Linked DNA regions of Rattus norvegicus. The protein of the gene in region 1 binds, or shares a complex with, the protein of each later gene. Links are inferred from orthologs where the notes say so. Each region holds a gene or a part of one and is shown in the gene's direction. Other genes may lie near its edges. The genes, in order: Arhgef7, Pak1 and Shank1.

Region 1 (7,108 bases):
GTCTTCCTTGCCAACTGTCTTAATTAGAGTTACTGTTGCAGTGATGAAACACTGTGGCCAAAAGCATCTTGGGAAGGAGAAAGGGTTTATTTGGCTTACATGTCCTGATTCACAGTCCATTTAGCAAAGTCAAGACAGGAATTCAAACCAGGTGGGAACCTGGAGGTAGGAGCTGATGCAGAGGCCATGGAGGGGTGCTGCTTGCTGGTTTGTGCATCTTGCTTTTTTTCTAGAACCCAGGACCACCAGCCCAGGGGTTGAGGCCACTCACAACTGATCACTAACTGAGAAAGTGCCCTATAGGCCACTCTAGAGCCCAGTCCTAAAGAGGGTTTTGTTAGCCCAGTGAGGCTCTCTCCTTCCAGATGTCTCTAGCTGATATTACGCTGACCTGTGCCTGGCCAGCAGCTGCTTAGAGCGGAGATAGCACATGGCAAATGCTCTAGTGGCGCTGGGGAGGACTTTTGGCATCAGTAGCTTTGGTTCTATGATCTCTGGGTCAGAGTCCCCAAGGCACGGGAAGTCCTCTTTGCTCTCTGTGTGCTAGGAATCTGGTGGATGTGCACTACCGGGGCACAGGAAGGTGGGGTGTCCCCTCAGCCCATGTAGCATGGTGTCCTGTCCCAAGCCTACACTTGTGCGAGATAGGCAGAGCACGTCAGGCTCCCAGTGACCCCAAATGTGACCCTATTTGTGTCCAGCCAGCTGGCACACCCAACTCTCACCACTGAGGTCTACTGTCCCTCTCCACAGTGGGTTCTGGTTAACTGTTTCTTCTCTAAGCTTTAGACTCCTGTGTCCCATTGCCAATGCCTGGGAGTGGGAAGAGCTGCCCCTCCAGCTCTTGACCTGCAGTGGGAGGCGCCTGCCACTTACTCTTGGCCACCCTCGTTACCACGTGGGTAGGAAGCATTTGTTACCTTCAGTGAGACAGTCGTGCTTGTGTCTTCAGTGAGACAGTCGTGTTTGGTGTCTTCAGTGAGACAGTCGTGCTTGTGTCTTCAGTGAGACAGTCGTGTTTGGTGTCTGCAGTGAGACAGTCGTGTTTGTTTCCTTCAGTGAGACAGTCATGTTTGGTGTCGTCAGTGAGACAGTCGTGCTTGTGTCTTCAGTGAGACAGTCATGTTTGTTTCCTTCAGTGAGACAGTCGTGTTTGGTGTCTGCAGTGAGACAGTCGTGCTTGTGTCTTCAGTGAGACAGTCGTGTTTGTTTCCTTCAGTGAGACAGTCGTGTTTGTTTCCTTCAGTGAGACAGTCGTGTTTGGTGTCTGCAATGAGACAGTCGTGTTTGGTGTCTTCTAACTTCGTATACAGCGTTTGAGGCTTCAGGACATGGACTTGGCTAGGTTGGTCAGGCATGTGGCATGTCAGACCTAGCCTTCTGCACACTAGAAGGTTAGCCTGTCAGCCTATAGGAGGGGCAGGGTCAGAAAGGCACAGAGACCGGGCAGAAGAGATCACGGAGCGCCTGCCACTTGCTGGTCTTCTGTCTGATGGTGTCTGTCCTGCGTACAGGTCTCCTGAAGCCCAGCAGAGAGTCGGTGGCTGCTTCCTGAGCCTGATGCCGCAGATGAGGACCCTGTACCTTGCCTACTGTGCCAACCACCCATCTGCTGTGAGCGTCCTCACAGAGCACAGGTTTGTGGCTAAGCCATCTGGGACAGAAGGGAAGGAGGGTGGGCATCTCTGTCCTCTAGGTATTTCATGGAGCGTGTTCAAACATAGCAAGGGTAAGTTTGCTTTCCTCAAAATGAGTGCCCGAACATCAGTCACGAGCTGGTCCATGTGGTTGTGAAAGAAAAGGGTTCTGAGGAGGCTGTGTCTTAGTTAGGGTTTTACTGCTGTGAAGAGACACCACAGCAGCACCTCTTAGAAAGGAAAGCCTTTAACTGGGCTAGGTTACAGGTCAGAGACTCAGTCCGTTATCATCATGGTGGGAAGCATGGTGACACCCAGACAAGCTTGGTGCTGAAGAGGTAACTGTGAGTTCTATGTCTGGATCCTCAGGCATCAGGAGAGAGAGAGAATGACCCTGGGTCTGACCTGTACTTCTGAAACCTCAAAGCTCAGCTCCCCCTACCCCTACACACAGACTCCTCCAATAAAGACACCCCTCCCATAATGCTGCTCTCTATGATCCTGTGGGGATCATTTTCACTCGAGCCTTACAGGCTGGAAGGATGGCTCATTGGTTACTCCTGCTGGGCAGCATGGGAGCTTGAGTCTGGACCCAGAACCCACATTGGAAATGCGGAGCATGGTAACCTCTTCTCTGAGTGGCAGAGACAGGAGGAGTGCCAGAGCTTGCTGGCCGCTAGACTGGCGTTAGCTTAGATCTTGTGTCACAGGTTATGTCGGATAGAGCAGGACGCCCAATATCCTTCCCTCGCTGGTTCATGTGTGCCACAGCAGACATGCCTGTCTGTCTGTCTGTCTGTCTGTCTGACACACACACACACACACACACACACACACACACACACACACACACACACACACCAATACAAGGGGAAAAGGCAGAACAAAAGAGGATCCCTCTGAACTTTAGTCTGAGGCCTTTTCTTTGTTGAGAGCCTGGAGGGAGCTGACGTCTGCTTAGGGGAGTCCTGTAAGCCACGTTGAGGCTTCAGAGCATGGGACAGGGGTGAGAAGCAGCGCTTTGTAGGCAGAGTGCTCACCTGCACACTGTTAGCTTGAGCCTCTCGACCAGAAACAAAATCAGTGTGCAGGATTTCACTCGCTTTGTGTGTTGCCAGCCATATCTTTTGCTTTGGTAAAGAGATTGCTGGGTTGTTTCAGGTATTTTGGGAGACCCCTTACGATGTGTGCTGGGAGTTGAGAGCTGGCATTGTGTCAAGTGACTGAGCAAATGACAAGCAAACTCAGGAATGGTTTCTGATGCCAAAAGAGGCCCAGCACTCTTGATTAACACACCAGTTTTATTACTATTGAAGAAATTATGTGGTTTCATTTATAAACAGCAGTTCAGTATTATTCAGAGCTGTTAATGGAAAAGTATTCATCAGCATCAAGATACTTGTCCTTGTGCTTTTGACTTAAATGACTCTAGTATTTTCCTAACTGAGCACTGGCATGTAAAACTACTGAGACACAAGTAAATACCTTGGATGAGTCTACCCTGCCTGCCTGCCTAGAAGTGTTGCAATACCTAGAGGTGGAGTGGCCAGTCCCTGCTCATAGGATTGTGATAGCAATTGCAGACCGTGCATGCATTTGTCACCGAAGGGCAGACACCGAAGGGCAGACACAGTAAAGCTCCATTATTTTGTTGTCTGACTTTGGTAAGAAAAGTAAGTGGCCCCAGGCATTTTCTGCTCCTCGGTGTACTCAGGTTTTTGACCCTCTGTCTAACTCCTACAATTCTGGGTGGAGTCAGTAAACTTGGACCACTGTGCAGGGAAGCGGGCGTCACAGTCAGAGAGGAAGTAGAAGCCAGCACCTTGGCACACTGTGGTCCTTCTTTCTACCTGAGATTGGGCTGGGTCAGCCTCTCCCTCTCTTTAGCATGAAGCTTACACTTCAGATTGACTCATTGCAAGTTATGAAATTCTACAAAAACAGAACACAGATACTATGCTTGTGTCGGAGCTTAAGGGCAAGTGATATGTTCTGTTCCATCCCCCTCCACACAGATATACACAACACACACACACACACACACACACACACACACACACACACACACACACACACACATACACACACAGTGGAGAGAGTGCCTGGTCCTACAGGGTGGAGTGGGAACAGGAGTGGCAGGGTGGGCAGTCCTGGGCAGAGCCTGCCTAACTTCTGTGGGAAGCAGCAGAGCTGAGGACATGACCGTGTACAGTCCATTCATCTCCACTCTGCTATTACCCCAGGGACTATTTGAGTTCTGTCTGAAAGGCAAGCACTTCTTAAAATAACTCAGGGGAAGGACTCAGATGAGGTATTACGTGGGGAGTGTCCGGGCTGCCTGCTCAACGTGGCATGTTTAAATGTGGAGTGAGAACTTTAGAGCCCGCTCTGAAAGCCAGGAGCAGCTTGGTGTGTGGTTCTGAGCCATAGAGAGGAGCATCCTTCCGAGCCAGCAGATACAGCAGGATGTGGTGTTTGTGTGCCCTTCTGAGGTCCCTGAGCTGTGAGGGTTTCCCCTCAGCCTCCCACAGATCCCGTCCCTCTCCTGAGGCGTAAGTTGGTGGTTTGAGCCATGAGTTCTTTGTGCCTGGTCACTTCCTAAAGCAGCTTCCTCTACTGAGATGCTAGGCTGCCAGTCTCGGCTGCTTTCCTAGATCTGATACCCATTGTGCTGCCACACCGTGCCTGCTCAGTAGAGTCTGTTTTCATGCCTGAGCCTAGTTTTTGAGTTTCTAAAAAAGGTTGTTTATTCAAGTCTGAAAGCTTTGCTTTTGCAAGTCGGGTGTAGTTTATTGATGGGAAGTTTTGCTTAGAATATGCGAGCCCTGGGTTTGGTTTGGTTCTGCATTCTTAGGTGTCAGAAGTGCTGTACCCCTGAGGATGGATCTCCCTACGTGTGTAGTCAGCGCGTGTAAGAGTCCACCCATGGGACCTTTCCTTTCTTGTACGGACAGTAGGCATGGCCTTGGGGGCCAGCCGTTCTGTATGGATTTTATAAGTTATTCTGTTAGAACATATTTTCCACTGGTTTGTTACTTTCGCTTTCCTGGCACCAGAACACTGTGTGCAGATCCCAGGCAGTTACTTTGGCTCTTTTAAATTTCATCTCATTCTTAGGAGTTCTGAGCCGGGGTACTGTGAGTTCCCTGCAGTGACCAGGTTGTGACGTTTCAGTAAACCTGGAATAACGTAATGGCTGGGTACGTGTCTCCCTTGAAAGGGAGAGCCTCTATTAGGCTGTGCCCCACCAGCTGCTCATTCAGAGGAAGTTGGTAAATAGGTATTTATCTCAGTCATCCCACAGTGCTTTAAGATGACTGGATGGGGATGGAGAGAACGGTCTTAGTAAGACTCAAAACCTAAAACAAACCCAATTGTGAGCTCTGAGAAAACATGTCGTCAGTCAAGGGTTCAGCAAAAATGAAGGATGCTGGGAAATGGTTATCAGTTGAAACTTGTTGTAGAAAGCATCAGCTGAATCCTGAAGATGGCTGTGAAAAGGGAGCAGAATGTTGAAGACTTACTAATGCTCCACATGTTGGGCATGTGCATTGTGTGCGGAGCAGACGGTGTGGTGCTGCGACGTGGCTTCCCCATGCCAGAGCCTGTGTGCCTAGCCCTGTCGTACTGTGCTGCTCTGTGTGTGCTGCTGCTGCTCCCAGAGAACGTGTCAGTTCACCAGCTCTCACACATGCTTCACGTTGGGGTGTGGCGACCCTCACACAGGTCTCTGTGGCTCAGGGACAGTTTATTGCAGCTCTTACCAGCTTGCTCTCTGGAGACCTCTGAGTTTGTGATGGTCTCCATGAAGCTGGCATGCCCAGGGTAAAGATGTGCCTTGAGGGGAGAGTGATTTTGATACTTTTCACATTGTATGGTAACCAGCACATCTGGCTGTAGCCATTACAGCAGGCCATTTTATCTTAGAGGAAATTGGCTGTGAAGCAGAGCTCTGCTCTGTGTTCCTAACTGGAGCCTCTTCTCTCTCCCTCCTTGCCCCTGCTGCCCAGTGAGGACCTGGGAGAGTTCATGGAGACAAAAGGTGCCAGCAGCCCTGGGATCCTGGTGCTGACTACCGGCCTGAGCAAGCCCTTCATGCGCCTGGACAAGTACCCCACACTGCTGAAGGAGCTGGAGAGACACATGGAGGTTCAGCTGCTCTCTGATCTGACCCCTTATGTCTGTGAAACCACCCTAGAGCTTGTCCAGAGTTCATAATGCGGTGTTTCAGGGGGACTTTGTTAAGCATGGAGATTTTCTCCTCCAGCCCTAGGAGTAAGATCTGTCTTTTTACTTTCTCGTGTAAAGGCTCCAGAAAGCTGCAGAGCGTAGTTTTCAAATAGAGCTGGGTGTCCTCGCAGCATTTAGTTACAGGCAGTAGGGCTGAATGCTGAGTGACACGGGAGGCACTGATTGTGTGTGGGCTAAGAGCATGCACGTCTGCTGCTGCTTTTCCTGGGTGTCTGCAGACGCCTTCATGCTGTTTCTCAGCTCCGCCTTGTAGGGCAGGGCTGTCAGAGATGGAAGCACTGTGGGGCCATGTCCTCGGGAGGCTCCTACCAAACAGCGTGGCTCGCTGACCCTTCTTGGAAGTTCTGTTTTAAATTAATTTCCCTCCAGTCTTTTAGGCACCGTAATCCTTTAAAAGATAAACAGGCCTCACACCGAGAAACAAAATGTCTGTGGGGTGTTTTCGATGTGAGAGTTAATCCTATCTTTCTTTATCCAAAGGATTATCATCCTGATAGACAAGATATTCAGAAATCTATGACTGCCTTCAAAAACCTTTCAGTAAGTGGTTAAGCGTATGACTTTCTCTGACCTTCTCATGATGAATGCATATTGGGTTAGCACCCAACTGGAAGGATGCACAGTAACGAGTGAGTTGTGAGTTAAGCGCAGTGTTTACTGAGATATGAGGACATGCATAGCAACGTTCAAGCAGGAACCTCTCCCACTCGAGTGCACTGCGGGCCCCAGAGCCAGAACTGAGGACACAGTGCAGTTCGTGCTGCAGATGTGTGAACCCATTTGACTCCTTGCCTCCAAGTCCAGGGTGCTTCAGTCATCCAGGACACCAGTCGTGCTGTCCTTCCTCTCTGCTGGCAGTTCCTGATGGAACCAGAGCAGGTGCTCTCCTGCTTTACTGTGTGTTGCTTGTCCCGAGCCTAACAGAAAGGCCTGTAAAGCCTAAGGAGCCAGAGCAGGAGTACGTGTCGCTCCCTTGGCCTGACTTTAATTAGCAGACATTCAGCTGGTGCAGAACAATACAATTGTATAAGCAGAAGCAGGGTGGTGAAAACAAGGTTCTGGAAGCTTCTATCTCTGAACACTTGTGTTCTGTGTCCCACAGGCCCAGTGTCAAGAAGTACGAAAAAGGAAAGAGCTGGAGCTGCAGATCCTGACAGAGCCCATCAGGAGCTGGGAGGGGGATGACATAAAGACGTTGGGCAGTGTTACATACATGTCCC
Region 2 (7,686 bases), on another chromosome or scaffold:
CTAATGTCCACCATACTTTCCTCTCTCTCCTGCAGCAACTTCTCTGGTGTCAGATTGTGATATGGACCTGCAAGCAAAGCCATCAGGTCTAGGGGCATCAACAGCCTGGGGACAACCCTCAGGTGGTGAGAACTTCCCTCCTCTCAGACGGTTCCAGCTATTTCACGGTGCATAAAACTAGCCTCGCAAGAGACTTTCTATTCAGATAAATTAAATAGTAAATAATAGAACTTTTATCAAACTTTACTGAACTCCACAGGCCACACACCATTATAATACCTCAAATTTTCTACCTATGTATGTACCAGTTTCCACTCTTTTTGGAGAAATTTCAGCCCTACTGGGAGAGCATGCTCTAGTACTTGAGTGGCATAGGGGCAGTGTCACTTACAATTTCATGTAGTTGGTTGTATTTTGTTTGCAATTTTGAGAGTCTTGACTCATGAGCCTATCAATTCGGGATGTAATGTGAAATCCAGAACGTTTTCACGGAACACTGAAAATGACCAACTCCGCTCTTCTTTGGCAGCTGGAGGAACAGACTATGTTGAGAGTGATATCCTGAATGAAGAGCTGGGTGCGAAGCGTCATGCCCGTAATCTCAGCACTCATGGCAGGCTGAGGCGGAGGATTTTGGCTTTGGAGTTAGCTCTGGGCTACATAGCAAGACCCTGTCTCAAAAGCAAACAAAGAAACACAATGTACTAGGGTGCTAGAACTGTCTTCATTATTGGCTTTGGCAGGGTCTTAGGGACAGCACAGCAAGTGGTGTCTAACAATTGGGGTGGCCATCTCTAGCAAACATCCCCTTTCACTTTAATAACATAGACAAGCCCTACCCCTGACTGGAGATGTATTTCTTTCGACTAGGGAATAAATTAGCACATATGGTGGCCTAAAACAATACACTTGCTATTTAAAGTAACTTAGTTCAGAAGTTCAAAGTGGATGTATATGGGTTGAAATCAAGGTGCCAGAGGATCCAAAGGAAAACTTTTCTCTTGAATTTTTCCATCTTTTGAAATACGCATTCAAGAGCAGAGCAGTTCTTATCTCAAAGTCCTGATTTAATCACACCTGCTAAGTGCTTTGTTATGGAGGGAACCACATTTACTACTTCCCGGGGTCAGAATACTAACTTTTGGAAGAGCTACCATTTGCCTGCTGTGGAGACAGTACAAAGATAGTGTAGAGTAGGATACATTTCCTGGGTGGTGAACCTGGGATAAATTATATCTGCACATATACCTCAGTTTCCTCATCAAAGGGCAAGGGGAACAGGAGGAAACCTCAAATGGTTGTTATAGATGTGTTTAGCAAGATAGCATTAAGAAGGGCTCAGAACAGCACCCAGCACACAGTAAGCATTTATTTAATACAGTTTTGTTATTGTTGTTGGATACAAGGTCTCTGGATCTCACAGAGATTTGCCTTCCTCTGCCTCTTGAATGCCAGGATTAAATGCCTATGCCACCATCTAGACATTTAATATATATTTATTATATATTAATATATATTTTTTAACAAATTGATTGATACTATGTATCAAGCACTGCTCCATGTTGGGGGGTACAGATGGGAATATTTTGTGGAACTGATTAAGTCAGATATACAATTACAGTTTCTTGGGATAAAAAAGTCAGGCCAGGTGGTACATTTGGGAAGTTGAGGCAGTTCTAGGCCAGCCAGGAATCCTAAAAGGAAGAAAGGGGATGGGGAGGGAAAGGGAAAAAATAGGTGAGAAAGGTATAATATTAAATTCAGGGAACCTTAGAAATATTAGTCAAAGTCCTAGATTATTGTGATACTGGAGTTTTTCTTTGTATAAGGAATAGATGTTTTCAAGCCAGATAAGGAAGGAAGGGCTCCTTGATTGGAAGAAGAATGTTAAAAAAATATCAGGTAGTATTCTTATGTAGTTTGGGCAAAGGTAGAGCGTGAGACAAAGCAAGAAAGGCTGTCATAAGCAGCCAGCCTGTGAGTGCTGTGTTAAAGTTTGGACTTTATCCTAAAATCAATAAAGCATCTCAGACTGTTTAAACAGAAGAAAGCGATCATAAGTTTTGTAGCTTTATAAAACTTCTCTGGAGACCAGTGAGTGTAATGAGTTAGATTTTGATTTTGAGAGTCTAAAGGTTGCTTCTGTTGCCCAGGTGATGGTGGTGAACAGCGAGTTGGGCAAGGGCTCGATGTGTTTGGTTTTTTTTTTTTTTCTTTTTTGTTTTTTGTTTTTCAGCTTACAAGCCGGAAGCTCAATTTGAAATTAATATTGAGAACAAGGATCTGATTAGAGGGATGTTGAATGGTGTCCATTGGCTGAGAACATGAAGGGAAGAGGTCACTAGAAATACCTATTATTTTTAAGGGCAATGCATACTAAACTGTATCTGTTGTTATTAATTCGAAGCTTAAGAGAGGCCAAATTAGGATAGTCAGGTGCAATGTATAAAGACATTACGGGTTAGGAATTCAACTTAACTTGGATATCTGGGGTGTGAAATAAGGCTCTGAGTTTTGGCTCAGAGTAATAACTTTCTTGGTTTTGGGTTTACTGAATTTGTGGTACAGCAGGACATGCAAGTGATGAATGCTGCTTTACAGGTATTGAGAAAAATAGAATCTGAGCTCAGGTAAAAGGTTTGCGTCAAAGATAGCCTCAGTGGTGGGAGAAGAGGAGAAAGAGTGTACTTTTTCCAACGTGAATTCAGTATATCTCAAAAGTTTCCGCTATTTTTTCCCCGCCCTTACTCTAACTCTTACACCCCCTAACTAACCCCAAGACAATGTCAGGGTCGGAGGTGTCGCGAGATGAGACAGTTTTCACACTTTCAGCGCTTGGCGAAGAGCATGGGGATGACATGGTGCTTTTAAATCCAAGGGGCTACCCTCGTTCCACTCCGACTTCACGCTAACCATCTTATAGAGCATCCAATTTCATGGAAAAAGGCCGCTTCAAAGAGAGAGACCGCGACAGCTCCGAGCAGACACCCGGCCCCGGTGACGTCACGTGGCAGCCAGGTGATTCCCTAGCCTCTGGCGTCAAGTGCTGATGACGTCATCCCGGCGCTCCACCTCGTCCCCTGGCCGCGTTGGCCTGGTTCACGTGGGTCTGTCCAGCGCTCCCCGCCCCCTCCCACCTGCCGGGGGCGGAGGCCGGACGGAGGGGGCGGGCCCGAGCTGAAGGAGGCGTGGCCTGGGCGGGGTCGCAGGGCGCGGCGGCAGCGAGCCGGGCTGCATACAATAGCAAGGCTGCGACCCGGGCGGAAGGTACCGCCGCACGGTGGGCGCTCCTCACCGCTTCCCCACACCTCCCAGTCCCACTGCACCTCTAGGCTGCGCGGAGTCCTCTCGGCTATTACCGGCTCTTTGCAGCCGCCTGTGCCCCCTCAGAGCCCGCGCTCTCCACAGTCTCCTCAGAGAAGGACCCCCTCAGCGAGCGCACCCCGCCCCTTCGCAGTCCGGGCGCGCCTCCCGCTCCCCGCGGCCCGCAGCGTCCCGCCCTCCAGAGCCCGGCTCGAGCGGCGAGAGGAGAACGCGGGGCTGCCGCCCGCGCACACTCCCGCGCTCTCTCTGGGTTTGGCTGCCGCCAGGAGGAGGAGGAGCGGAGCGAGCGCAGAAGGTGAGAGCTGGCCTCCCGCGACGGTGCTCGGGGCATCACGGCGGCAGGGCGAGGGCGCGGGGTTGGGGAAGGCGCTCGGGGGTGGGAGGGGCGGGAGTGAGGGGGGCGGGGGTTGGGGGGCGGGCAGGGGCGCCAGGTGAGCTGAGGCGGGCGCCGCCCCGCGAGGCCGACCGCTCCCTTCGGGCCAACAAAGGCCCCCTGTGCGACCACGGGTTCCCGAAGCCGGGGCACTAGGGACCCCGAGGGTCCACAGGTCCGGGTCCCGGACGGACTCCCTTCCGAACTTCGGGGTCCTGGTACGCTAAAACTGGCCCGCGACGCAGATGCTAAGTGAAGCAGTGAGGATTTATTCTCCGTGGTCAGCCCCGGCTTGGGAATCACTTTTCGGGTTCATTGCCTTGAAAAACAGACTGGTAGTAAATGACTTGTGCTACCCCTCCCCCACCCCAGGAATACTCGGTAACTTGGGAAGTTCCGCACAGACTTAGAAAGAATGGGAATCATAGTTGTTTTTTTTTTTTTTCCATTATTAGTCTATTTCAAAGGCAGAGTTAATCCAATCATCACTATCTTGGATCTTTTAAAGGTAAACAATACTGTGAGTGTTTTTGGAATAATACCTGACAATTATTGGGCACCTTTTAAAAATATAATGTAGCCTAAGTTTCTTATGTTAAACCCCTTGGATAATTATCTTATCCTTTACGATGTTTCCAGAAGTGTAAAAGGTAAAAGAAGAGATTATTAATCAAGTTAGTACTTCTATTTTGAGAATCATTCTTGAGAAAAACCTTTGTCCCCTATGTTTAAGGGTCTTTCAACTCTGTCAGGAGGAAAATGTCAGCAGTACAGAGACGCCTCACTAGGCATTCCCTCCTTCCTCACTCCCAGCCTTAAAGTTCCTGGAGTTTGCTTTTAAAGTTCACAAATGAGCAGCTAGCTAGCAATCATCTTATCTACTCAGCTTTCAAGATTCCACTGAAGAATCCTCTCCACTGTGGAGTCTTTGCTGGCATCCATTCTGTCTCCCTCCTAATATAACAGTCTTCTCCCCATTGGGACTCCCAGAGGCCCACAGAGATTTCTTCTGTCTGCCTTGTAACACATTCTGTTTGGGAATCTTAATCATGGTACTCATGAATACAACCCATTTCAACTAGAAGCCACCTCTCAAAAGGGTTTTGGCATCTCGACACTGACATTTCCTGAAGCTTATTCCAGTCTCACCTGCTACATGAACTCATGGCTTGGCCTGATCAGTTTACTTAGTCATCTGTTTATCCAACATTACTACTATAATCTGGAGTGGTGCAGTGTTTGAAGCTGCCTCCTAAGTCTGTGCTGATCTCAAGCATATCAATACAGTCAGTCTTTGCTTACAAGACCAAGAGCTCAAAGTTTAATGGGTGAGGTAGACTTGTAAACAATGAAGGTCCTCTGGGGGACTCCAGTTGTGCAGGGAATGGTGTGCAGTAATCGAGGTTGCTGGACCTGTCTTACAAGTCTTGTCCTGGCCACAGTAAGTTCGTAGGGAAAGTGACTGGCCCTTCATCCGTAAGAGTTTACCTGATACAAAGCTTATCCAGTTCAATTCAACATATATTCTGAGTACCTGTTTGGAGGCATTATGCTAGGCTTGCAGGAAGCTGTGCACTTTGAGGGGTCTTTGCAAAACAAAACCTGCTCATATCAGTGCTTCCTACCCTCCTACTCCCTTTTTCACAGTTGAAGGATTAACCTCAGACTTTTTAGTGTGAAACAAACTTCCTGGAGAGCCCACTATTGCCTACTTTAGCATCCTCAACCTTTCTGTGTCCTGTCCTCTACCTCCTCTTCTCATCTCTTTTCCTATGCTGCTTTGCCTGGAGTTCTACTGTTCTCCCTCGTACTTGCCTGTAGAGAATCCTTGTCGGACCTCTGAGAAGCAGTTCTTCCTGCTTGTCTCTGGAAATGAGGTGCTCTCCATCTTCTGCTCAGTCTCTAGAATTTTTGTACTTCTCTTTTAGCAATCAGTTGCAATTAAATTTGAATCTTCACCTTTGAACTTTAGCTCGTTCCTTCCCTCCCTTGTGGTACTAGGGTCAGGTGCTCTACTTCTGAGCTATGTCCCCAGCCCTTGGATATCTCATACTGAACATTTTTAAATTTTGAGACAAGATCAGCCTTAGACTCATTCTGTAGCTCAGGCAATGAACTTTTGATTCTCCTTTAACTTTCTAACTGGACCACTGGAGATCACTAGGTTCAACTGCCTGTGAATCCTTTCTTTTTTTGGACATGTTAGGGCTCCCCTTTCTTACGTTTTATTTTTTTATTGTGTTGTGAGTGCATGTATGTGAGCTGTGGTTTATACAGAAGAACCTTTGGAAATTGGTTCTCTTTCCTGGGGATCAGACTCAGGTTATCAGGCTTGGCAGCAAGCACCTTTTCTTAATGAACCATCTTGCCAACCCTATATATTATTCAATTTTATCTTTGTTAGTGTGTGTGTTAGTGGGAATTCTGCGGAGGTCAGAGGACAGCTTTCAGGAGTTGATTCCTTCCTTCTCTCTTCACAGTGAGTTTCAGGGGTGGAACTTATTAGGCATGTTTATTAATGCAGATGCTTTTTTTTTAACCTGTTGACCAATCTCATTAGCTCTACTTTTTATTTTGAGACAGGACCTTCCTAAGTTGCTGAGGCAGTCCTTGAACTTGGAATCCTTCTTTGTCTAGCTTCTGAGTAGCTGGGGTTACAGGCCTGTGCTACTAGGCCTGCCCCTGAATTACTTGAGGTCAAGATATGTTTAGATTTAGTGTCTAGCAAAGTTCCTGGTACTTTGAGTACATTGAATGAATGAATAAGTACTTCGAATGAATAAATATGTGAGCCAGTGAAAGAAAGAAGTCCTGTGAAGCTCATAAGCTGGGTCACCTAATCTTTAGGATGGGACAATTAGTTGTTAAAAGTATGGTCCTTCCTTGCACCAGCAGTGACAGCATAATCTGGGAATTTTGTCAGTATATTAATGAGTCTTATCCCAAACCTACCAAAAAAAAAAATTAGGGTTGGAGCCCAGACTTCTTTGCTTTATTAGGCCCTCCAGGAGATCCTGATGCTTATTAAGGTTGAGAAATAGTTACAGAGTTAAAAGATCTGTTTTTGTTTGTTTGTTGTGTAGAACCAGCACCCCATTCTCCCTTTTCCCTCATTTCCTTCCCCTATCCCTCCCTCTGTTTCTCTTCCTTATTCTATCCTGACATTCTCTTCTCTTCACATGCTCTCCTTCCAGTCTTTTCTCTTGCCGCTAGAATGAAAGCTGCTTGAGGGCTGGGAGATTTTTCTGTTCTAGTTCATTGCTTTAAGCTTATGCCTAGAAGAGTGACTAACCACAACTAGCACAGACATTCAAATATTTGTTAGATGAATAATATGACTTAGTCCTGCTTACTGCCAGCTGCTACACTGGGGTTTTGTTGAAGAATACTTTGAGTGAAGAGTAATCACATTCCAATTTGCAAATCCAGAGAATCTTAACATTTTGGGGGATTCATTTTCACTTTGGCCAGCTTAGTTACCTTCCTTCTTTCCCTGTGTTTTTTTAATTTATTTTTATTTTTTAGTATTATTTGAAACAAGGGGTCTTGCTATGTAGCTCAGACTGGCCTTAAACTTGTGCCAGTTTCCTGTCTGACCTTTATTTTTTTTGTGTGTGTGTCTCAGATAACAGTTTATTAACATGGAGATATTATTGTTAGCTTTTGTACAATGCATTCAGCAAACCAGCAAAACTTTCAGAAAATTGTCATTAATTTCTTCAGTACACTATGTAAACTGTCTGACCTTCTTGAGTGCTGAGATTACAGGCATATGCCTGGCTTTGCTGTCTTTTTACCATAGGAAAAAATCTACAGGGTTTCCCAACTTATAATATTGTTTTAGCCATGACCTGAAAACTACTGAAATATCCCAGGCCAGGATTCTTTCTTGAGAATTTGCAGCTTGGTTTTCCAAGTCTAAATGAGCACTCAGACTTTTTGAGTCTTAACTTGAAGCTGTCTCCTCCAGATCCCCCGTGGTTTTTGTC
Region 3 (7,844 bases), on another chromosome or scaffold:
TCTCACCCCATCTCCCCTCACCCTTCATCTTTGCTGTGTCCTTCCTAGCCTGTTCCTCCCTCTGAAGACTCTTCCCTCAGCTCTTTCTCATTGCTGAAACCTCAGCTCTGGCCACCATGAGATGCTTTCTCAAAATGCCCCCTTTTCTTCTAGGTATGATTCAACCAGTATGGTCTTGTTTATTTACCTCTGTCTCTTACAAGCCAAGGCATGGATTTGGGGCTGTTTCTGAATCCCCAAATCAAAGCAGGGCTTCCTAGCACCCAGTAGGTGCTCAGTTAAGCTGATGAATAAGACCAATGTTAAAATAACTTGGTAAAAGGCCTTAAAATCAGACCTTTGTGTTTAGGTTGCCCCGGAGTTCTCACGGTGTCTGCCAGGTGCTGAAGGCAGGGGAAGGTCCCAACGCCAGGCCATACCCATGCCATGCCAGGCTCATGAGTCCTGCAGAGCTGTTCTAGCTTTAGCCTGGCAGGTCCTGCCAATTCATGTACCAGAGATCTGGGGACCCAGGCTCTGCAAGGACAAAGCAAAGAAGCTCAGAGAGAAGACATGGCAGCCTTATGGAGGTCACGGGTGTGGCATCATGTAGCCAAGGCCTCTGGCCCCAAGCAGGTACCTCACATCTGCCCTCAGCTGCCGAGAGCCCCATGAGGGGCCTTGTAAAGGAACACACCAGTTTTCAAGGAAGTCTAGTACACAGAGGGCAGAGTGACCTTGGGCAGCCAACTGACTCCCTTGGAGCCTCCCAGATGCTCATCTGTAGCACAGAGGTCTCTCATCAGAAGCTGGAGATCTCCATACAATGCAGAAAGGCCTTGTAAACTGTAGAATGCTTTATGGCCACTCACTGCTTGTACCAACACCAGCAGCTGTTCTCCATGGGCACAGCTGCTCAGCACCTGGGTGGGTGCCTCAAGATGAGGGCCTCTCTGAGCTGGGTACCAACTTCAGATTATCCCAGAGAGCCCGCAGCTGGAAACAAACCCAGAAACTACCTAGAACTACCCTCTGTAGGAGCTGGTATTCCCTGGTGGCCCTAGGGACGCTGCTGGACAAAGTGGAAGCCATGGTTGAAGAGGACTGAAAGGAACTGAATGAATCTGCCTTCCTCTATGAATGTACAGGGTAGGAGAGGGCTAACTACCTGCAGACAGTTAGCTTTGCATGCCCATGTATGTGAAATTGGAGGCGATACAGGATACATAAGGGCATACATCTTCAGGTATGCTCTTTGAGAGACCGTAGCAGGACTGGGGAGAAGATGGAGACACCCTCTGCGTTCTTCACCCTTGATACAACCTCTTTATAACTGGGTGAACTGGGCCAAATTACTTAGCCTTTCTGTGTGCTCTGACAGCAAAGAAGTCCCCGATCCTGGCACCTAGCATATACTCAAGGATAACTGGGGGAGGGGGTGCTGTGGGCAGGGTGTACAACAGTCAAACAGGCATACACACCTATGATGGACAGTGGAGTGGGTGAGCTGGCTGGGACACCACACACGTCTGTCTACCCGTGCTTCTGGTGGGCAGATCTAAGCCTGCAATTGGAGTGTGCCGTAGGTAAATCTTGCAGGGTGCTGTCAGTGTGCCGTGCCACAGGGGTGTGACATTGTGCATGAAGCCGGGTGTGTGCCTCTGGTCAGGTATACTGGGCAGGCACTGTGGGTATGCTTGGTTTGCAGGACCTGCTTGGAAGAAGGAGTATGTGCTTAGGTACTTCCATGTATGTGGGCTTATATGAAAAGTTGTGTGCATGTGTGTGTGGGGGGGCAGGGTATGTGTATGTGGAGGGGTGAAGGTACACATATTTGGGGGTACAGGACCAGAATCTGTCGATTCTGGGAATATACAGACACTACAAATACAAATAGCACCCCACCATGTGTAGAAAGGGTGGGGAGCAATTTGGAGGAGGGGCTCCCCTAGGACGAGCAGGATCTCGTTTGGGTACATGGGGGTAAGCAGGGGTGGAGTCTGGGTTTGGGGATGGGGCAGTGGAGATGAAGGGTGGAGGAGGGCGAGGGGAGGGGGTGGAGCCGCGTTTGGGGGGGAGAATGGGCGAGGTTTGGGGGCTCAGGGAGGGGCGATATCTCTCTGCGGGCTCCCGGAGGGAGGGGAGAGGGCGGAGGGAGGGGAGGGAGGGAGAGAGAGGAGAGCAAGAGAGAGAGAGAGAGAGAGAGAGAGAGAGAGAGAGAGAGAGAGAGACCGGGTGAGGGAGAGACAGCGAGTGCGAGAGAGCGAGCCGGGTGGCAGTGGAGGCGCCGAGCAGGAGCAGGCGGCGGCGCGGCGGCCCCTGGCAGAGGAGGAGGAGGAGGCAGAGCAGGAGGGAGCCGCGGCGCCCGTAGCCCGGCCGGACCCCAGCCCCGGGGCGGGCAAGGAGGGGCTCACGGGCGCGGCAGAAAGGGGGGCGCGCTGCGGATGGCCGGGCCCGGCCCGCGGGGGGGGTGAGGTCCGCGGCCCCCCCGCCCTCCCCCCGGCCCTCGCCCGCCCCCTCCCGGGCCCGCTCGCCCTCCGGGGCGGTGGGGCATGGCCTGAGGGTCCCCCGTATTCGGGGGGGGTGGGGGGTGGGGGGAGGGGGGAGGGGCCGCGGGCGCCGCCGACCGGGACTCAGCAGCCCCGCCAGGCAGGTAAGGGCATGGGGCACTACTGGGAGGTTCTGGGGTAGGGTGCAATTGCAAGAACTGGGGTTGCGGGAGAGGGCGGAGGCGCCCCGGATGTCCTTGGCCTGGCGCCGGCTCCGGCCTGGGTGTACATTTAGGGTGTGTGTCTGGGGGGTGAGGGTGTGGAAGGTAACGTGGCCCCTACGGGTAACATCAAATTGGGTTGCGACCCGGTCCCGAGTGCCCCGTCCCAGATCGTATCCTTGCTAGGAGGGTGTGCCCCATCCCCCACGTGCTGCGCCCCCTAAGCCGTACTGGTCTCCGAGGCTCTCCGGGGCCACGACTGGGTCATGGTCCCCGCCTTCCAGCCGGGCTCGGCCACTCCCCCGCCTCGCCCACCCCAGCACACCTGGGCCCCTCCCCTAGGTCACCCTTGTCCCCAACCACTCTAACCCAGGGTCTGGGCCAGAGTCTCCCACGACGACTGGACCTGGCGCCCCTTCCAGGCGTCTATAGTTCCTTCCCACCCGCGCCTCGCGTGCCCATCGCGCCTCGGGTTCCTTCTCCGCAGGCCGGCGCGCCCCCTCTGCTCCCGCCCCCAGTCCCAGCTCCCTCTCCCGACCCAGGGCTATTCTTTCACCAACCTCCCTGCTCCCGCCTTCCTCCACCTCCATTCATTCTCCCGGTGCCCGGCTCCTGGCCACGCCAGCCGTCCCCTGTCCCCCCGCAGCCTCTCAGGGCACCCCCTCTCTCCCCTTCGCCACCCCCCCTCGCCGATTCCTCAGCCCGTCTCGGTACCAGCTGCGTGCCAGCTATTCTTAGCCGCCGAGCTTTTGATTCATGCCGCCCCGGCGGAGTGTGCCCGCTCCCTCCCTCGAGGCCGGAGGGGGAGGGGCCCCGAGTTGTCCTGGGTGTTGGGGCAGTGGAGCCCGCGCTATGGGGGACCCGGCCTTTGCTGACCTTTTATCCCACCTGCCACCCCATCCCTGCAGAGCTGTAGCTGCAGAAGGGATGTCAGCCAGGGTCAGCCGAGGGGGAGTGGCTGAGGTCACACTGCCAGGCGGGAGGTTGTGTAGGGCGGTCCGCAGACAGAGCAGGAGGCCCGGGTCTCCTCCCAAGCCCAGCGGGTTGAGCAACAAGGCAGGGTACCTGGGATGGGGTGCTTCAGAGCTCGGTCCCCGCGAGGGGGAGGGTTCCTCAGCCCGCGTTTAGACGCCTGCTCGCCTACAGTTCTTGGAACTCTCTTCCTTAAACATTTCGTCTTTCCTTCCCCAACCCTCCCTCCCCAGCCCATCCCCACTCCCCCAAAGTCAGCAGTACCCTCCACTGCTTCCCATCTCCATGGCAACGGTGCAGGAGCCGGGCCTGGTGTGGGGTGGGAGGGACCAGACCAGACATTCTGCTTTCCGGTTCTAGAGTGGGGAGTGGGGGGTGGCAAACAAGAGAGAAGAGGACCACATTTGGAAAGGTGCCACCCCTCAGTAGGCCACTTTGAGAGGGACGACCCTCCACATCTCCTGGTACCCCATATTGTTGCAGCTCACTTCTTAGCCTCCTCCCCAGACACCCCACCCAATCCAAGTTCTCCTCGGTGAAGCCGCCAGTACCAAGCAGTGCCAGCCCACCCACCCTGCTGTGCCATTCCTGAAACACCCACAGGTCACCTGCAACTGCCCACACCCACCCAGGCCACCACAGCTTGTCACCTGGACCTTCCAGCCAGAGCCAGGGCCAGCCTCCCAATCCACCCACACATCCTCTTCACACGCCCCAGTAACCTCTCATCGTTCCCTTGGGCACAGCTCAGGGGAACTTCTCTTTTCTGTTCATCCACCCCCACTCGTGTCCCTCCATCCCCTACAGGGACAGCTCATTCCCCACAGCAGCCCTCTAAACATGTGGTCAGCCACACTTCAGTGAAATCACCAGCTCTCGGGCACCTCCTGCTGCCCCAGGCTCAAAACTTACACCTCCATCTCATCTTTACTATTAAAGTCAGTCTCCACCTCCCTGGGGTGAAGGGGCCAGGCTCTGGCCAGGAGGGCAGGATGCCGGGGTGGATTGGTCCACCTGTCTGTCCTTAGCTAATTTTAGCTTCATTTTTTTTTTTTTTTTTTTTTTGTAGCTTGACAAAGTGGGCCACTAGCTCCCGCGGTGATTCTGTGATTTCTAGGACACACTGGGTCAGCCACAAAGTGGAGCGCAGGGGGATGGGGGCTGCAAGCAGGGCCAAGGACAGGGAGGAGAAAGGTGCCAAGAAGGCTGCAGAGGTGGTGCAAACTTGTCTGTGCAGAGGGCTGAGGGCATGTCTAGTTTCCCTCACCTCCCAGAGCAAAGGGAACAGGCTGCCCCTGTGTCTGTCTACTGAGTGGAACTGGTGGCCTCTGAGTGACTTTACAGTGAGGGTCACTCTTGCTTTGCCCAGCTGCCTGTGATGCTGCTGTCCCCCGTCGCCCCGTGGCCCCACGATGACCCACAGCCCCGCGACAAGCGAGGACGAGGAACGCCACAGTGCCAGCGAGTGTCCCGAGGGGGGCTCAGAATCGGACAGCTCCCCAGACGGACCAGGAAGAGGCCCCCAGGGTACTCGGGGCCGGGGCAGCGGAGCACCTGGTAACCTGGCCTCTACCCGAGGCCTCCAGGGACGCTCCATGTCTGTCCCTGACGACGCCCACTTCAGCATGATGGTTTTCAGGATTGGCATCCCTGACTTGCACCAGACGGTGAGTGGCTACTCACTTGCCAGCGGACAGACAGACACATTGGCCAAGTCTTTCCCCACCCTCAATCCCAGATCTAGCTGCAATCTTACTCCTTTTCCAACCTACCCTTGACCCTTGGATCCTTGACCCAACCTAGCCCTGACCATCCTATCTCCCACCAGAAATGCCTACGCTTCAACCCGGATGCTACCATCTGGACAGCCAAACAGCAAGTACTCTGTGCCCTGAGCGAGAGTCTACAGGATGTGCTAAACTATGGACTGTTCCAGCCAGCCACCTCAGGCCGGGATGCCAACTTCCTGGAGGAAGAGAGGCTTCTAAGAGAGTACCCTCAGTCCTTTGAGAAAGGGGTACCCTACCTGGAGGTGAGGCCACAGAAGTCATGCCCTGAAACACATCCACTCCAAGTCCAAAAGAACCCCACAGTGGGCTCCCCAAGACTACCCAGAGTCCAAATCGCCAGCTGAGTTGCCTCAGATGGTGTTCCTTCCTCTCCCTAAGCTCCTTATGCCATCAAATGAGGGAATCCCAACTACAGTCATTCTAGAACATTCGTGTAATTGGTGGTGGTGGGGTCCATGCTTATACTTACAAGGTAGGGGCTATAGTGCCGTAGACCTTGATGACCTGGTATACTTGGAAAGGTCACCCGAACTACAGCCATTTCCATGCTAAGCCTGAACTCATTCTGGGAGGATAAGAGCAGTGTCAGAAATTGCTCCCCAACCAAGAGTCTGATAAGTCTGTGTCCCCGCATATCCTATCCCTGGCCTCAGTTCCGCTACAAGACCCGAGTCTACAAACAGACCAACCTGGATGAGAAACAGCTGGCCAAACTGCACACGAAGGTGAGAGTACCCTGCTGCCCCCTGTGCCCAGAGCGCCCTGTTCATCACCTTCTTTCCCAGTCTCTCCCCAGCAACCATTCCCTCTGCCAACCCCTCGGCTACACCAAGTCCCCCATTTAACTTTGAGGGTGCATCCTGTTTGGAGACACCCATTCGTCTCCATCATAACCCCTTCCCACTTCCCTCTGTGGCCTCACCTGCCTCAGATGGCATCTGTGCCTGGTGTGTGTATGGGTGGTGCTGGTGGTGCCGGAGTGAGTGGACGTGCACATGTGGAGGTCAGAGGATGACTTAGGGAAGCCATTATTCTCTTTCCACCATAGGGATCCTGAGGATGGAACTCATGTTCAGGCTTGGTGACAAGTACCTTTGCCTGGTGAGCTGTCTCACTGGCCTCACCTTATGTTTAATAGTCTTTTACTGGCTTACCACCCAAGTCAGACTAGCTGACCAGGAAGCCCTGGAGAAATGTGTGTTGCCAACTCTCAGGCACTGGGTTTACAAGTGCACACAACCACCCCTGGCTCTCTTATGTGGTTTCTGGGGAATCAAACTTGGGGCTCCATCCTTCCATAACAAGGCTTTACTCCTAGCCCTCCAATCTGTTCTTTGAACTCTTGCCTTCTCTGCTCAGGAGCACTTAGGGTCTTTTTTTTTTTTCCCCTGCATCAGCCAATTTCCTACCTGGGTAGTATTTCATGGACATCCACAGTTCCCCAGTCCTATGCCTGTATCTCCACAGGCTCTGACCTTTTTTCTCAGCCACATTTATTCTGTTTGGTCCTTTCCCTCCTGACCTTGGGTAATATCTCTCCTGTGTCTGCCCTGGCCCTCTAGGAGCATGGAGGAAATTAGGAGGCTCCTCTGGCCAGAGGGAAGTAATTCTTGACATTTAATGGAAAGAAATTCCCTAATCTGTTCCCCCCCCCCGCTTCTCCCTCCCACACCATCCACCCTGATCTTTCCCACTCCATGCCTTCTCCTCTCTACCTGTGTCACCCACTTTGGGAGCCAGTGGCCATGTACAGCTCCTTTGTACAATGTGACAGGTGTGAACTGAGTCACACCGCAAAAACAGCACAAAAATTCCACTGCATCTTTTTCTAACATTTATTTTTAATTGTGTGCGTGCGTGTATGCGTACATGGGGGGGGGGGGGCTATGTACATGTGAATGCAGACACCCAAAGAAGCTGGCATGCCCAGCTGTTAGATGCCCAGAAGCTGGCATTAACCTGCCATTGGTGGGTGCTGGGAACTGAACTCTGTAAGCACTCTTAACAGTTTAAGAGATCTCTCTAGCCCCATAAATATCTTTTTTAAATTACGTCTATTCCTTTCTCACTGAATGTGTCTGGTGGCAGGGTTAGGGTTGAATGCTCATGTCATGTCTCACATGCGGAGGTCAAAGGATAATTTCTAGAGCTCAGTTTTCTCCTTCTCTATGGGTGTTCTGGAAAATCAAATTCAGGTTAGCAGGAGGTTTGGCCACAAGTACCTTTACCACTGAGCCATCTCACCACCCCCAGACCATGGTGTTTTAATTACTTTCTTGTAGATTGTGTATCAAAACAGTAACATTAAGTATACATCCCTTTAAGAATACCTGTCATCGGGGTTGGGGATTTAGCTCAGTGGCAGAGCGCTTGCCTAGCAAGCGCAAGGCCCT

Evidence for each region.
Region 2: the proteins of Arhgef7 (region 1) and Pak1 are in contact, whole or in part, in an NMR structure (PDB 1ZSG), measured with the Homo sapiens proteins. The link is inferred for Rattus norvegicus from reciprocal best matches to the Homo sapiens genes ARHGEF7 and PAK1. Residues at the interface, in NP_001106983.1 of Homo sapiens: Lys192, Phe193, Phe195, Thr198, Asp201, Glu202, Glu217, Gly220, Trp221, Trp232, Pro234, Ser235, Asn236, Tyr237; in NP_001363202.1 of Homo sapiens: Thr185, Pro186, Pro188, Val189, Ile190, Ala191, Pro192, Arg193, Lys198, Arg203, Ser204.
Region 3: the proteins of Arhgef7 (region 1) and Shank1 are in contact, whole or in part, in a crystal structure (PDB 3L4F), measured with the Rattus norvegicus proteins. Residues at the interface, in XP_063131056.1 of Rattus norvegicus: Asp735, Ala737, Trp738, Asp739, Glu740, Thr741, Asn742, Leu743; in NP_113939.2 of Rattus norvegicus: Gly673, Phe674, Gly675, Phe676, Val677, Leu678, Arg679, Gly680, Ala681, Lys682, Phe696, Glu703, His735, Arg736, Val739, Ile742.

What each region holds. Positions count from the first base shown.
Region 1 is NC_086034.1:84,398,878-84,405,985, reverse strand, and holds part of Arhgef7 (rho guanine nucleotide exchange factor 7), read left to right. Parts: intron 1-1,514; coding exon 1,515-1,637; intron 1,638-5,647; coding exon 5,648-5,786; intron 5,787-6,368; coding exon 6,369-6,428; intron 6,429-6,990; coding exon 6,991-7,108. UniProt on the Homo sapiens protein: Acts as a RAC1 guanine nucleotide exchange factor (GEF) and can induce membrane ruffling. Functions in cell migration, attachment and cell spreading. Promotes targeting of RAC1 to focal adhesions. May function as a positive regulator of apoptosis.
Region 2 is NC_086019.1:161,519,195-161,526,880, forward strand, and holds the start of Pak1 (serine/threonine-protein kinase PAK 1), read left to right. Parts: upstream 1-3,255; 5' UTR 3,256-3,619; intron 3,620-7,686. UniProt on the Homo sapiens protein: Protein kinase involved in intracellular signaling pathways downstream of integrins and receptor-type kinases that plays an important role in cytoskeleton dynamics, in cell adhesion, migration, proliferation, apoptosis, mitosis, and in vesicle-mediated transport processes.
Region 3 is NC_086019.1:103,942,225-103,950,068, forward strand, and holds the start of Shank1 (SH3 and multiple ankyrin repeat domains protein 1), read left to right. Parts: upstream 1-2,594; 5' UTR 2,595-2,632; intron 2,633-5,030; 5' UTR 5,031-5,073; coding exon 5,074-5,328; intron 5,329-5,489; coding exon 5,490-5,693; intron 5,694-6,104; coding exon 6,105-6,176; intron 6,177-7,844. UniProt on the Homo sapiens protein: Seems to be an adapter protein in the postsynaptic density (PSD) of excitatory synapses that interconnects receptors of the postsynaptic membrane including NMDA-type and metabotropic glutamate receptors via complexes with GKAP/PSD-95 and Homer, respectively, and the actin-based cytoskeleton.